Linked DNA regions of Drosophila melanogaster. The protein of the gene in region 1 purifies or fractionates together with the protein of each later gene. This does not show direct contact. Each region holds a gene or a part of one and is shown on either strand. Other genes may lie near its edges.

Region 1 (4,590 bases):
TAGTTGAGACTATACATTTCAATTCAGCAATTATTGCGCATCTATGTGAGGAACTTAAAATATTATCCTATTTAAGTTAAGTGTGCATTGATCATAATTGTATACCCACATCTATTCACTTTTAGTTCATTTATTTTAAATATTCATTGGAGCACCTATAGAGCATATGGAGTTAAAAAATATGACCCAAAATGGAATAATCATTAAAGGACTATATTTTAATTTCAGTTTCCATTAGACGCAAACCACTGTTCTCACACAACACACTTTAAGGGTATCCTCTCTACCTCAGTTGCTCCGCTCTCGCCCACGTAAACGATCGAGAGCCATAAAAAATTCGTTGCGATAACAAGAGTGGCTTCGATTGCACTCATAATAAAAACAAAGCAGCTCACGCATTGGGAATTACAGCAACACAAATGAGGAAATTAAGCAGCGAGGACAGCAACAACATAAACACACTCGAGTGGGCGGCATCGCAGCCAAACATATGAGCGAGAGGGCGAAAAGGAGTGGGAGCGCAGAGTGGCGAGGAGAGCAAGGCGGCTTTGGCGCCTGTCTGCTTTGCCGGCGACGTCGACTGCGCTGCTTTTATGATTCATTTATCATCGTCAGGCGTCAAGAGTCAATGCAGCTAACGGGAGGCGGAGAGTCTGGGACGAGGGGGTGGCGAAGTGTGAAAACGTTGGACAAACATTAACATACAGTTCCAACAGCTGTGGTCAACTTAATAGCATAGCGGGGATCTAATAAGATATCAACTCCAACTTTTGAATCATCAGAAAAAAGGGTTCTTAGTGACCAATATATGTACATATATGTGTACATAAGTATATAAGAGAATCATAGGATAAAATACCCAAATCATTATGTGTCATGCGGTTCATTCCGACATTACCTTTCTACCCCAATTTATCAAGTGCAATGTTTTCTTGCTAATTGTTTTTAAATTCACCGATGTAAGTAGATTGTTTACTCAATAGATACGCTCGTTGATTTCAATTACATATGTATGTATGTCGATACATACTGAATTTAAGATAAAAAGTAAAGGAGTATCGACAAATAGAAAGTAGTAAACTTGCTGTGTGATATATTCTTGACCGCAACTGTATATCTGTACTATAGGCTTTATGGGCATACGTTGGTTTACTGGCTGCTTGCCCAGAGATCTATAAACGTATATATGTATGTACATATAATATGCATGCAAACATACACACATAGGTGAAAATTCGTTTTTAAATCAAGCAAGAACAAACTTTTCGGGAGCGTGTGGGCGCCCAGAACTGGGTTAACGATGTACCGCATTGTGTTTGATTTCATTGACGGTCGAACTTTAGGTAAAATCGATAAAAAATGTTTTTCTTTCTGCAGGGGCCCATGCAAAATTATTCCCTAATGAGAAAAACACACATTGTAGGCACAGGAAACTCGACAACACTTGCGGCATTTAAATTAGCGACAGGGGTTGTCAAACGCAGGGGAGCGGAAGGGAGGAGGGTAGGACATTCAAAGTGACGCAGGCCTAGGTGCATGTTGCAACAACAGCGACGCAAACGTGGCGCTCGCTCCAAGAGCTGAAAGAAGCCACAAACATATGCATACTTCTTCGCCACGTTTACGCGGAGCCAAAGTTTGTGATCAAGCTTCTTGATTACTTTGACGACTGCTTTATGTTAACTTTCTATTAAAACTAAACTTAAGAATTTATTCATGGAATTCATTTTACGCAATTTTTCCGAGGATTGCTGTATAAATATGAAGCCAAAACATGACGAAGATCACCTTCTGCTGTCCGAAGACTTTAAGTAAGTTATCTTAGTATCAATATACAAAATGTAAGCATTAAAAATGATACGATGATTATGGTCGGTGCATATTTAGCGAGTTGCCACGCATAACTGCTGGCGACGGAGACTCTCAGCCGCTCCGACGTTGTCTATTTTGGTTGCGGACGCCAGCCGAAAGCAGCAGGCGGAAATGTTATGCCTTTTATATTCCTCTTTTCAGTTCCCTACCGCGACCGCTTCCGCGCGTCCCTGTCCCTTCCGCTTTTACCTGTGACCGTGCTAAGCAAATATGTTTTTCGTTGAACGAAGGAAGGGGGTGGTGCACTGGCGCACTGGACATGTGCCGTTAGAGCGGTAACTGTTAAATGCCAAATCGACTGCGAAATGTTGTTAGTTATTAGAGCTTTATGTAAATGTCTTGTATCGTGTCACGTGTGTTAATAGCGGGGGAAGGGGCATTGGGGCATTCCAGCTTGTTGACATTTGGTTGCTTTATTTTTGGGCTGGAAATTCGGGAGCAGCAATGTGCTAATCCAAAATAATGTGGCGTGGAAACCACTTGAAACGTTTTCCTTTAATCCACATACACGCACACACACACACGTGAGTTGGAAAAATCAATGTGTGCAACCTCTCCTTAGGCGGTGTGTGTGTGCTTGTCTGTGCATTGGAAGCCAGACCAATTGGACTAACGGTGCACTCTCTTTTTATGAATGAAACTCCCTCGCCCCGCTCTCCACAAGACCATTCTACCCGCTCCACTCGGCCACCACTCTCCACTTGAACTCACTGCAAGTACAATATGCCTTGGCTGCCTTTCTTTTGCACGGTGCACCCTGTACGCCGCTTGCAGTCGAAGAAGAAACGCTTGCGATTCACGGATTCGCGTGGACACCACTTCTCCACTGGCTTCTTGGAGTTTTCCGAGCCCACAACACTTGGCCGCACTCGCACACACTCCAAACCGCACACACACTGTATTGTTTTCCAGTTTTCTCTGGTGTGTGTCATAAATGGCCGACGGACGAGAGGCACCAGCAGCAGTTAAAGCGCAGCAATCTTATGGCGCTCCGCAAACTTTCTCGCTTTCTAGCTTCTTTAGCAACGCGCGCGCATTTTCGGTCCTTGCATCACCCACTAATTGGTTTACATTATTCAGGGGTTTGTTAACTACGAAAAATAATTACAGAAAGACGACAAGACGGCCGCAGCAGACAATGTAGCGATGGCAAAAATATATCAATATATCGATAGCGAACAGAAACGAATATATTCGCTCCGTGACTTTTCACAACATATCGATGAGTTTTTTGTATTGTGATTGGCGACCTTTGAAAAAGTGTTTTTCAAAAAATACCACATCAAATTTTGAGTTCATAATAATCTCTTTGTTCCAAATATTTTTATTTCCAACAAATTGCATAGTGCCAATAAAGTTTGGGGCGTGTCTAAATGCCTCCATGAACGATTGTTGACAGAAATGAATGCATTTTTAGATATGGGTTGAAACTTCAGATAGCGAAGTTACTTTAGATGTTTGAACTGGCGAACAGAAAAACAGCCATTATCTAGTACCCTCTTTAAGACTAGGTTTTTCTTTAATTTTGAAAGATGAAGATAGATATGAGCCTAAAGTGTTTTTAAGATGTCCCTGACCACGCTGCGAAACATACAAGAAAGCGCGCAGTCGAAGCGCCTCAGGCACAGCTGCCTCAGACCAAGGAGCAGTTGTCCGAACCGCAGGTAGTTGGATTGCTGCAGGGTGTAGCGGGCTAAGGAGATCAGGGCGGCTTTAGAGTGGCTTCCCAGGATAACGGCATACTCCGCATTGATGGCCAATTCTGTAAAAACATGCAATCGATATAAGCAATTAAAAGTATTAAAATGGGATATACTAATGGTGGTTTGACTTCCTATTAAACTCTTAATTAAATTAAAACGATGTAAAAGGTCTTAAATCTGTCTCTAATCTTGAATCTAATCAAATTTTATGGTTGGTTCAAACAAACCAACTGCACATGCTGGAAAATTTTCTTTTGAATTTATTAAGCCCAAAACGGAAACGTTTTTTCTGGGGTTAAGAAAACTGCTTGGGTGTACTCTTTCATGCAGAATCAAATAGCAAAATCTATACATAGCGTACATAGGATTTAAATTTTCGTCTAAGAAATCACGTCAATATGTGTAAAAACATTGAAAATTGGTTAGATGGCTTCAAACCGCTTTTATTTTTAAATCCTAACAAGCCTTTTTACCGCACAGGCGGAGCTTTACCTTTTCTGCACAGGATTAGGGACTCCATAAAGTTGAGTTCCAGGACGTCGGCCCTTAGCTGGTGGGCCTCGCAAATGAGCCGTTTGAGCTGCTCATCGCCGCAGCCGTCGATCATGGCGCTGATGTCCAGAGACCAGTGGGACGCTCGCAGGACGAAGATCTCGCTCCACACCACCTGAAAGATGGCGTCTTGTTGGCAGCGATCCAACAGAGCGAACTGCTCGTTGGCCTTCGCCTGGCGCAGGCACGTGACAAGGATCTGGGCGAGGATCTGGAAGTGCAGCGCCTGGGAGTGGGGCGTCGGGGATGGCGCCGCCTGAGATGGCGGAGCTTGTCTCCGGCCAGTGCGGTAGAGAGCCACCTGCTGGTTGCGCGGACCGCGCTCCTCCTGAACCGCAGCAGCGTTCATTCCCACGGCCAGGCATCGCTGGAAGCGGCAGGAGGGACACCAGTTCCGCCGCGCCTTGTCCACCACACAGTTCCCGACCAGAGCGATGCAGGCGTAGCTGCTCCCGCGCCGCAC
Region 2 (7,524 bases), on another chromosome or scaffold:
TATTTACTTTTTATCTTACCAGATAAAAAATTAGCCTAGTTCTTTAGTTTTTAGCTACGTGATATTAGCCTTAAAAATATACGATTATTAATGATGTAAACTAATTAAGGCAAAGAAACAAATGGATATATTTTGATTAAAGCCAAATACTTAAGTCCTTGTGTTTGTATTTATTTTTGTATGATTGCAATATTCTGACTATATTTTATATAGATTATGAATTGCTGGGTGGGAGATATTCTGATTGTCTAATTCGCTTTTGATTATAAAGGATTTTGAAACATAATAATCATATAATATGGATAGAACGTGAAGTTCTTTAACGAGAAAGTGTGACTCTTTCGAGCACGTACTACACTTTATGCTTTGTATTTACATATATTTTATTATTTTTATAGTTTATTATGAACCCACTGGAAGTGTACCGCTTATCATCTAGAGACCCGCCTACCGTTATCATCCTTGCTGCTACTGCCGACGCTAGCAGAGGCAGAGACGGCGGCAGAGGCAGAGGCTGTGACGACAGCGACGGCGTTATTGATCAGTGGTGCGATTTCCATAATATTTATTTAGATATCGGAGCTCCGTTTGTTTATGTAATACACTTTATTGGCTTTACTTTTTGTGTTTGTCTTTTTCGCAAAATATTTTTGTTTGTTTGTTAATTCACATTCGCGTCTCTCTCTGTCTGCACCAGTCTTTCGATACGCTTGTGTGTTTATGTGTGAGAGAGCGCAACTGTGTGTATGTGTGTGAGAGAGCGCAACTGTGTGTGGGTGTACGAATGTGAGTATGTGTGTGTAAGCGTTTTGTCACGTATTTTTACAACGGCGTTGCTTTTGTAGTAAATATGGCTGCCAAGTTTCGAAAATTTCTGCAATCGTCCGCTTTTGTCGCACGAATTTAAATTTCCAATGCAATTTTTGTACTTGTACTCTAGTTATTCCATCGGTTGCATTACATCCTTTTGCTATTGTTCTCTCGATTTTCGCTCTCTTTCCCTCAACATGTTTTGCATTTGCATTTAATTCTGTTGTTGCTATTGCTGTTTTTGTTGCTGTGTCGTCGTTTTTGTTATTGCTATAGTCGTTGTCGTTTTTGTTGTTTGTGTTCCACTCCATCCACAAAATAATTGAGTGCGCTCCACTTTGGTGCGAGGGAGACGGAAAATTCTTCGCACGCACACAGTCTCACGTTTTTCCGTTTTCTTTTCTCGCCCAGTTCACGTACTTTCCACTTTCCAATCTCAAATTATTATTTGCTCACCGAACTTTTTCGCGATCTAAATTGCCTTTATTTACACGTTGCACTTAAAATTAGCTACTATTTTGCACTATTTAACGGGCTTTTCAACTGCTCAAAACTCGCCTTCCTCTTCAGCGTCGCGTATAGAAATAGTATGAAATAAAAAATACCAGCATGCTGCTCACTAAGATACCAAAATATACCGTTTCTTTAGCGACCAGGGAAGCCAAATACAGTTGGCTCTGTGATAAATGTACTCTTACAAAGCCTGTCTTACGTTATTTGCTTATTTTTTCGGGAATATTAAAAGACAGTTTACTAATGAAAATTTTAAGAGATTATTATAATGATTTCAATAATTCACAGTTAGATTCCCTTCCGTTGCACTTACTTGTAGTTGTATACAAATAGTGTTTATTTTATTTTTAATTATTTAAAAATATGTGATCTCTTATTTTAATTTCGAAAAAAAATGTGAAGAGATATTTCAAACAGATCTCCTTAAAATTAGCTTACGTTTACGATTTAATAACAATATCGATATAACGAAATGTCCACCAAAGTATCACAATATAAATAAGTGTATTCTCAAAAATATCGATACACTGATATTGTTATGCATTTCTCACATCTCTATCGCCATACCAATCGTTTCGTGTTTCGACTTTTCCAGGCCAACCAAAAAACGATTTTTCCGTACTGAAAAGTGCAATTCGCGCAAGGAAAATCTTCGATGTGGTCCTTTTAAGCCATCAAGATTGCATTTTCGAAATTTTCCGCCTGCAGCTGGCCCTGGACGTGCTTTGTATCCGTAGAGAACAGAGACGCAAAGGTTGGGACACCAACATATACATCGAAATCTAAACCAACATCATCCGCGTGTGTGTGTGTGTGGTGTGTGCTTGTGGGTGGACCAGGTTACCTTTCAGTTTTAAGGTGTTCCATGGAGTGAATGTTGTAAAAGCGATTGAACATATATCACATGAATAAAAGAGATTTCAGTTTTAATTAAATTAGGTTGAAGATAATTCCACAAGCATATTATTGAACTAGAGAACTGTTTATCTTAACCATCGATTAACTCAACCTGCCAATTTGTTTACCAATTAAAGTACATGTTTTAATTTTAAAACTTAGCTATTTTAAGATTCAAAACAGAAGTTTCAAGTAACGATCTTTTAGCTTAAAGTTTCTAAATATTTAAGGATTATTAATATTTATTTTATATCATTTATACGAATGGTGGATTGTTAAACTTAACGTGTTGAATGAATACCTTAAATAACACTCGTATTAGTGTTAAGATGTTTCTTTAGTCGAAAGGTCCACCTTAGTATCCGCAGATCCGAAGTTGTGAATGTGTGCGTGTTACACAGCATGTCTGTGTGTGGGTGGTGCAAAAGGGCGGAGGACAAGAAAAATAAATCAGAATTTCCACATCCAGTGCCCAGAATATGAATTATTTGCATCAAAAATGTACAATTACTTAATTTATTAAGTAAACAGTCGCTTCAAGAAGATATTAAACGAAGCACAATGTCCTTGTAAATTGATTAGTTACTTACTTACTTATAATCGAGTTCAATGCCGCCCTTCTACGCCCTACCTACGCATTGATTTAATTTACTTTGACTTGACCATTAATCACTATTCTACTATATACTACCATTTCTGCCCACAGATAGACGCCGTGTGGGGTTGGGTTGCTTCCGGCCCGCTGCGCTTAGCAGCGAACAGAATGGGCGACCTGCCGGGCTCGGGCTCCACCGCTCAACCACGGGATGCTGGTAAGGATTTGATAGGAGCTTGGTTTGGAATTGGGAAGAGAGCAAGCCAGGGGCAACCTGTGTGCCTCATGTGACTTTAAATACTTCATATTTGTTCGTAAGACTATGATCTTTCAGCTAAAAAATACTATTAGAAAAGGTTTTTCCTTCATAAAAAAGTATTTGAACTCTCATTCACAATTCCAATTAATCGGTACCATTAAGTTTATTTGTACTATTCCAAACATATGGTATTTTTATACTCAAAATCATTATGTATGCCAACAGCTGTCACCGGTACCGGTGGTAATTCCACGGCTGGTGGCGGCTCCTCCGTTGGATCTACGGCAGTGGACCGACCTCCGTCGCCCGCCCGCCTCTCTCACACGTCCGAGAAACATCCGAAGGTCACGCTCACTGAACTAAATATGCTACGGCGCCATCGGGAGCTCTGCGATGTGGTGCTCAACGTGGGCGGACGGAAGATCTTTGCCCACCGGGTAATCCTGTCCGCCTGCAGCTCCTACTTCTGTGCCATGTTCACTGGCGAATTGGAGGAATCGCGCCAGACTGAGGTCACCATACGCGACATCGATGAGAATGCCATGGAGCTGCTCATCGACTTTTGTTACACCGCCCACATAATCGTCGAGGAGTCGAATGTCCAGACCCTCCTTCCCGCCGCCTGCCTGCTTCAACTGGTTGAGATTCAGGACATCTGCTGCGAGTTCCTCAAACGGCAATTGGATCCCACCAACTGCCTGGGCATACGCGCCTTTGCCGACACACACTCCTGCCGGGAACTTCTACGGATCGCCGACAAATTCACGCAGCACAACTTCCAGGAGGTGATGGAGAGCGAGGAGTTTCTGCTGCTCCCCGTCGGCCAGCTGGTGGACATCATTTGCAGCGACGAGCTAAACGTGCGCTCCGAGGAGCAGGTCTTCAACGCGGTCATGTCCTGGCTCAAGTACAATGTCGCCGAGCGGCGACAACATCTGGCACAGGTGAGCTACTGTAAACCATATCTGATTACTACTCACCGATTCCTACTTGTTCCGTTTGATAATTACTTTGGAATAATATAAACAGCTCAATTTTTAAGTATTGCAACTAATAAATAAATAATGAATTGATATTTTCGAATATTCTCAGGTGCTCCAACACGTCCGTCTGCCTCTGCTGTCGCCAAAGTTCCTGGTTGGCACGGTGGGCTCTGATCTCCTGGTGCGCAGCGACGAGGCCTGCCGGGATTTGGTGGATGAGGCTAAGAACTATCTGTTGCTTCCGCAGGAGCGACCGCTGATGCAGGGTCCACGCACCAGACCGCGAAAGCCAACTCGACGAGGCGAAGTCCTGTTCGCCGTGGGCGGTTGGTGTTCCGGCGATGCTATTGCCTCCGTGGAGCGTTTCGATCCTCAGACCAACGACTGGAAAATGGTCGCTCCCATGAGCAAACGACGCTGCGGAGTTGGCGTGGCCGTGTTAAATGATCTACTTTACGCCGTGGGCGGTCACGATGGCCAGAGCTATCTGAATAGCATCGAGCGTTATGATCCACAAACGAATCAATGGTCCTGCGACGTTGCGCCCACCACTTCCTGCCGCACCAGCGTCGGCGTGGCTGTGCTCGACGGCTTCTTGTACGCGGTGGGTGGCCAGGATGGCGTTCAATGTTTGAACCACGTGGAGCGCTACGATCCAAAAGAGAACAAATGGTCGAAAGTGGCACCGATGACAACAAGGCGACTGGGAGTGGCGGTAGCCGTGCTTGGAGGATTTCTCTACGCAATTGGCGGCTCCGATGGACAGTGCCCGTTGAACACCGTAGAGCGATATGATCCCAGGTAAATCATAAATAAAGCATTTAAAAGCTTTAGACGTACAAGTACATTTTCTATCGCTTGTAACAAATGACCTTAATGTACATTGCACTTGAACGTAGTATTTGTTTGATTTACATTGCCCCGATTTTATCATTACAGACACAACAAATGGGTAGCAGTCAGCCCGATGTCAACGCGACGCAAGCACCTGGGCTGTGCTGTGTTCAATAACTACATTTACGCCGTCGGCGGGCGAGACGATTGCATGGAGCTCTCGTCCGCCGAGCGCTACAATCCACTGACCAATACCTGGAGCCCCATCGTGGCCATGACCTCCCGCCGCAGTGGGGTGAGTTTTTGTTACACTTTTTCTCGGCGAATAGTATTGTATTAAATGAAATCGCACCATTTTAGGTTGGCCTGGCCGTCGTCAATGGACAGCTGTATGCTGTGGGCGGCTTTGATGGTTCCGCCTATTTGAAAACCATCGAGGTCTACGACCCAGAGACGAACCAATGGCGTTTGTGCGGCTGCATGAACTACCGCCGACTGGGCGGCGGCGTGGGCGTTATGCGTGCCCCTCAGACTGAGAACTATATGTGGTGCGAAAATAGTTTTAAGCAACCGAATTCCTGAAACTAACTCAACTCCCATCCCTTCCATTGCTGATGAAATGTTGTCTTGTCTCTCTTTTCCCCCCGAAAACATGCTAACAAATTCAGGATACGGAAAGATTCTGTTGTCTGATGGGAACAGCAGCCGACAACGTTGCCCTCGCAAACGTTGCCGCCGCCGCACTTCTACTAACAATATCCGCAATCGAAGCCAAATCTAATCGACTAAACAAAACATCTTTTCGCCCCATTGTCTACTAGCAGTGTAATCGCTTTGTATTAATTGTTAATTGTTTATTTGGTAGAGCCTAAAGCGCATGTTTGTTAGACTTTTCCGGAATAGTATTAGAGTTAGCATTGTTCCCACGTTCACCTGCAATAACACATCCCCATCACTCCTGTGCGTAATTATATATGATTCTACTGTATGTTAAGCAAGTATATTTTATAAATAACTTAATATCTAAATGTTGCCGGTGGTATTTCATGGAAATCGCTAGCTCATAACCATGCCTTCTTTCGAAAAAAACAAAACAAAATCAAATATTAACCTAGAAACGAATTCGATTAGTTGTAAATCCTTAAACGAAGAGCTCTAAAGTCAAGTAACAAATTGGTATTAAAATAATTTAGATTTAAGGAGTGAATTCAAGAAAGTTTGTCCGAAATTAAACATCACAATGGTGCAATATTTCGATCGACCAACTAAACGCTGTTGTTTAGTCAAGTACACTTTAAATCTTTGCAAACGTCTTCAATAATACCACGACTATATGAAGTGAACCGAATAATTGCAAAGAATTTAAAAAAATAATGAATATTCAGCCTGTCAAGCTTAAAAAAAAACCATTAAGGTAATCACACACACACACAATGAAGAAGTTAGACCTAGCCCAAGATAATTCAATAGTAACAATTAACAATTACGCAGCCGTAAGATCAACTTTAAGGTAATAAATTTTAATATTGTTAATCCTAGATCGTGTAAACCGGTAAGAGTTTTCGGCCGGAATCAGGTCAAGTTTTAAGATGACTTATTGTTAAACCAAGTTTGACCATCGAGCTGAATGAACCAACTCGAATTAATCGCTTAGATAAGGGAGTTAAAACACAAGTAGACTCTCAATAACAACACATTTTCTTTGTTGCCTTTTACACCAACACTATTAAACAATTATTTATTCAAAATTATTATTTATTACACGCTTTCGTATCTCATTTAGTTTATTTTAGGTGCACATTTATAAACTGTTGTTAAATCGAGCAAAAAGGAATGATCTTTGCTTCCAAATGATGAATAAGAATAGCATTTATAAAAAACCAAGCTTATTTATATTATAGCTTTAAGTCAAAATGGTCAACAATTATACAAAAATTCGCATACCACCCATTATGCGTAGTTAAAAAATAACATTTCCTAGTTGTGTTGAGTGGTAAAAGTGCTTAACGCAAATAATAGAAGTGTTAACCTAAGAAATGATCGTAAACCCGTGCTATGTATAAGAATATATAAAAATAAAAATATATCAAAATTAAGACACTTTGTTTCATTCAATACATTACAGCCAAGGGCGGAAATTGCTGCCAAAAAATAATTAAAAATAAATATCCAAGTGTACTATTTTGTATTATATTCTATAATTTATAAATTTGTAATGCAATCAATGTACCGTTACGCGGTACTGGTACGCATCGGTACAATAGTTACGATATTGGATCCTTTACCGATAGCCGATGCTCGAACCCGATTGTTTTTGTTTTAGGCCTTAATTCGCACACACTGATTTGGTGGCACTACACACATTTTGTTATTTTAAACATTTTTCAAGAAGTCAATATTATGATAACAATTTTATGAAAATAATTGAACTAAATGCATTCGGAACATTTCGATATACACTGCCGACCAGTGTGAACGCTTCGCGACGTGGAGAAACTTCAGGCACGTCAGCTATCGATAAATTAAAATGTGTATTCGATTAGCGTACGTTAAACAGCTGTTTATTCTGGCGCTCTTTCATACGTTCGCTGAAATAGTTTTGTATTTCTGGCCGGAAATGATGTCCCAAATTC

What was found. Proteins that work in one complex are often made in the same cells at the same time.
Region 2: the proteins of Pak (region 1) and dbo purify together in Drosophila melanogaster (affinity purification with western blotting, with the first as the bait; one study listed by BioGRID). This does not show direct contact.

Annotation. Positions count from the first base shown.
Region 1 is NT_033777.3:6,349,345-6,353,934, reverse strand, and holds the start of Pak (p21-activated kinase), read right to left. Parts: upstream 3,040-4,590; 5' UTR 2,584-3,039; intron 813-2,583; exon of another isoform or gene 396-812; intron 1-395. Other genes in the region: Hr83 (hormone receptor 83), read right to left, coding at 3,423-3,634, 4,068-4,590.
Region 2 is NT_037436.4:15,825,020-15,832,543, forward strand, and holds dbo (diablo), read left to right. Parts: upstream 1-1,868; 5' UTR 1,869-2,077; intron 2,078-2,926; 5' UTR 2,927-2,983; coding exon 2,984-3,032; intron 3,033-3,299; coding exon 3,300-4,018; intron 4,019-4,166; coding exon 4,167-4,858; intron 4,859-4,996; coding exon 4,997-5,186; intron 5,187-5,251; coding exon 5,252-5,473; 3' UTR 5,474-5,559; coding exon of another isoform or gene 5,560-5,584; 3' UTR 5,585-6,985; downstream 6,986-7,524. Other genes in the region: DCP2 (decapping protein 2), read right to left, coding at 452-560; CG12713 (uncharacterized protein), read left to right, coding at 7,509-7,524. UniProt on the Drosophila melanogaster protein: Probable substrate-specific adapter of an E3 ubiquitin-protein ligase complex which mediates the ubiquitination and subsequent proteasomal degradation of target proteins. May have a role in synapse differentiation and growth.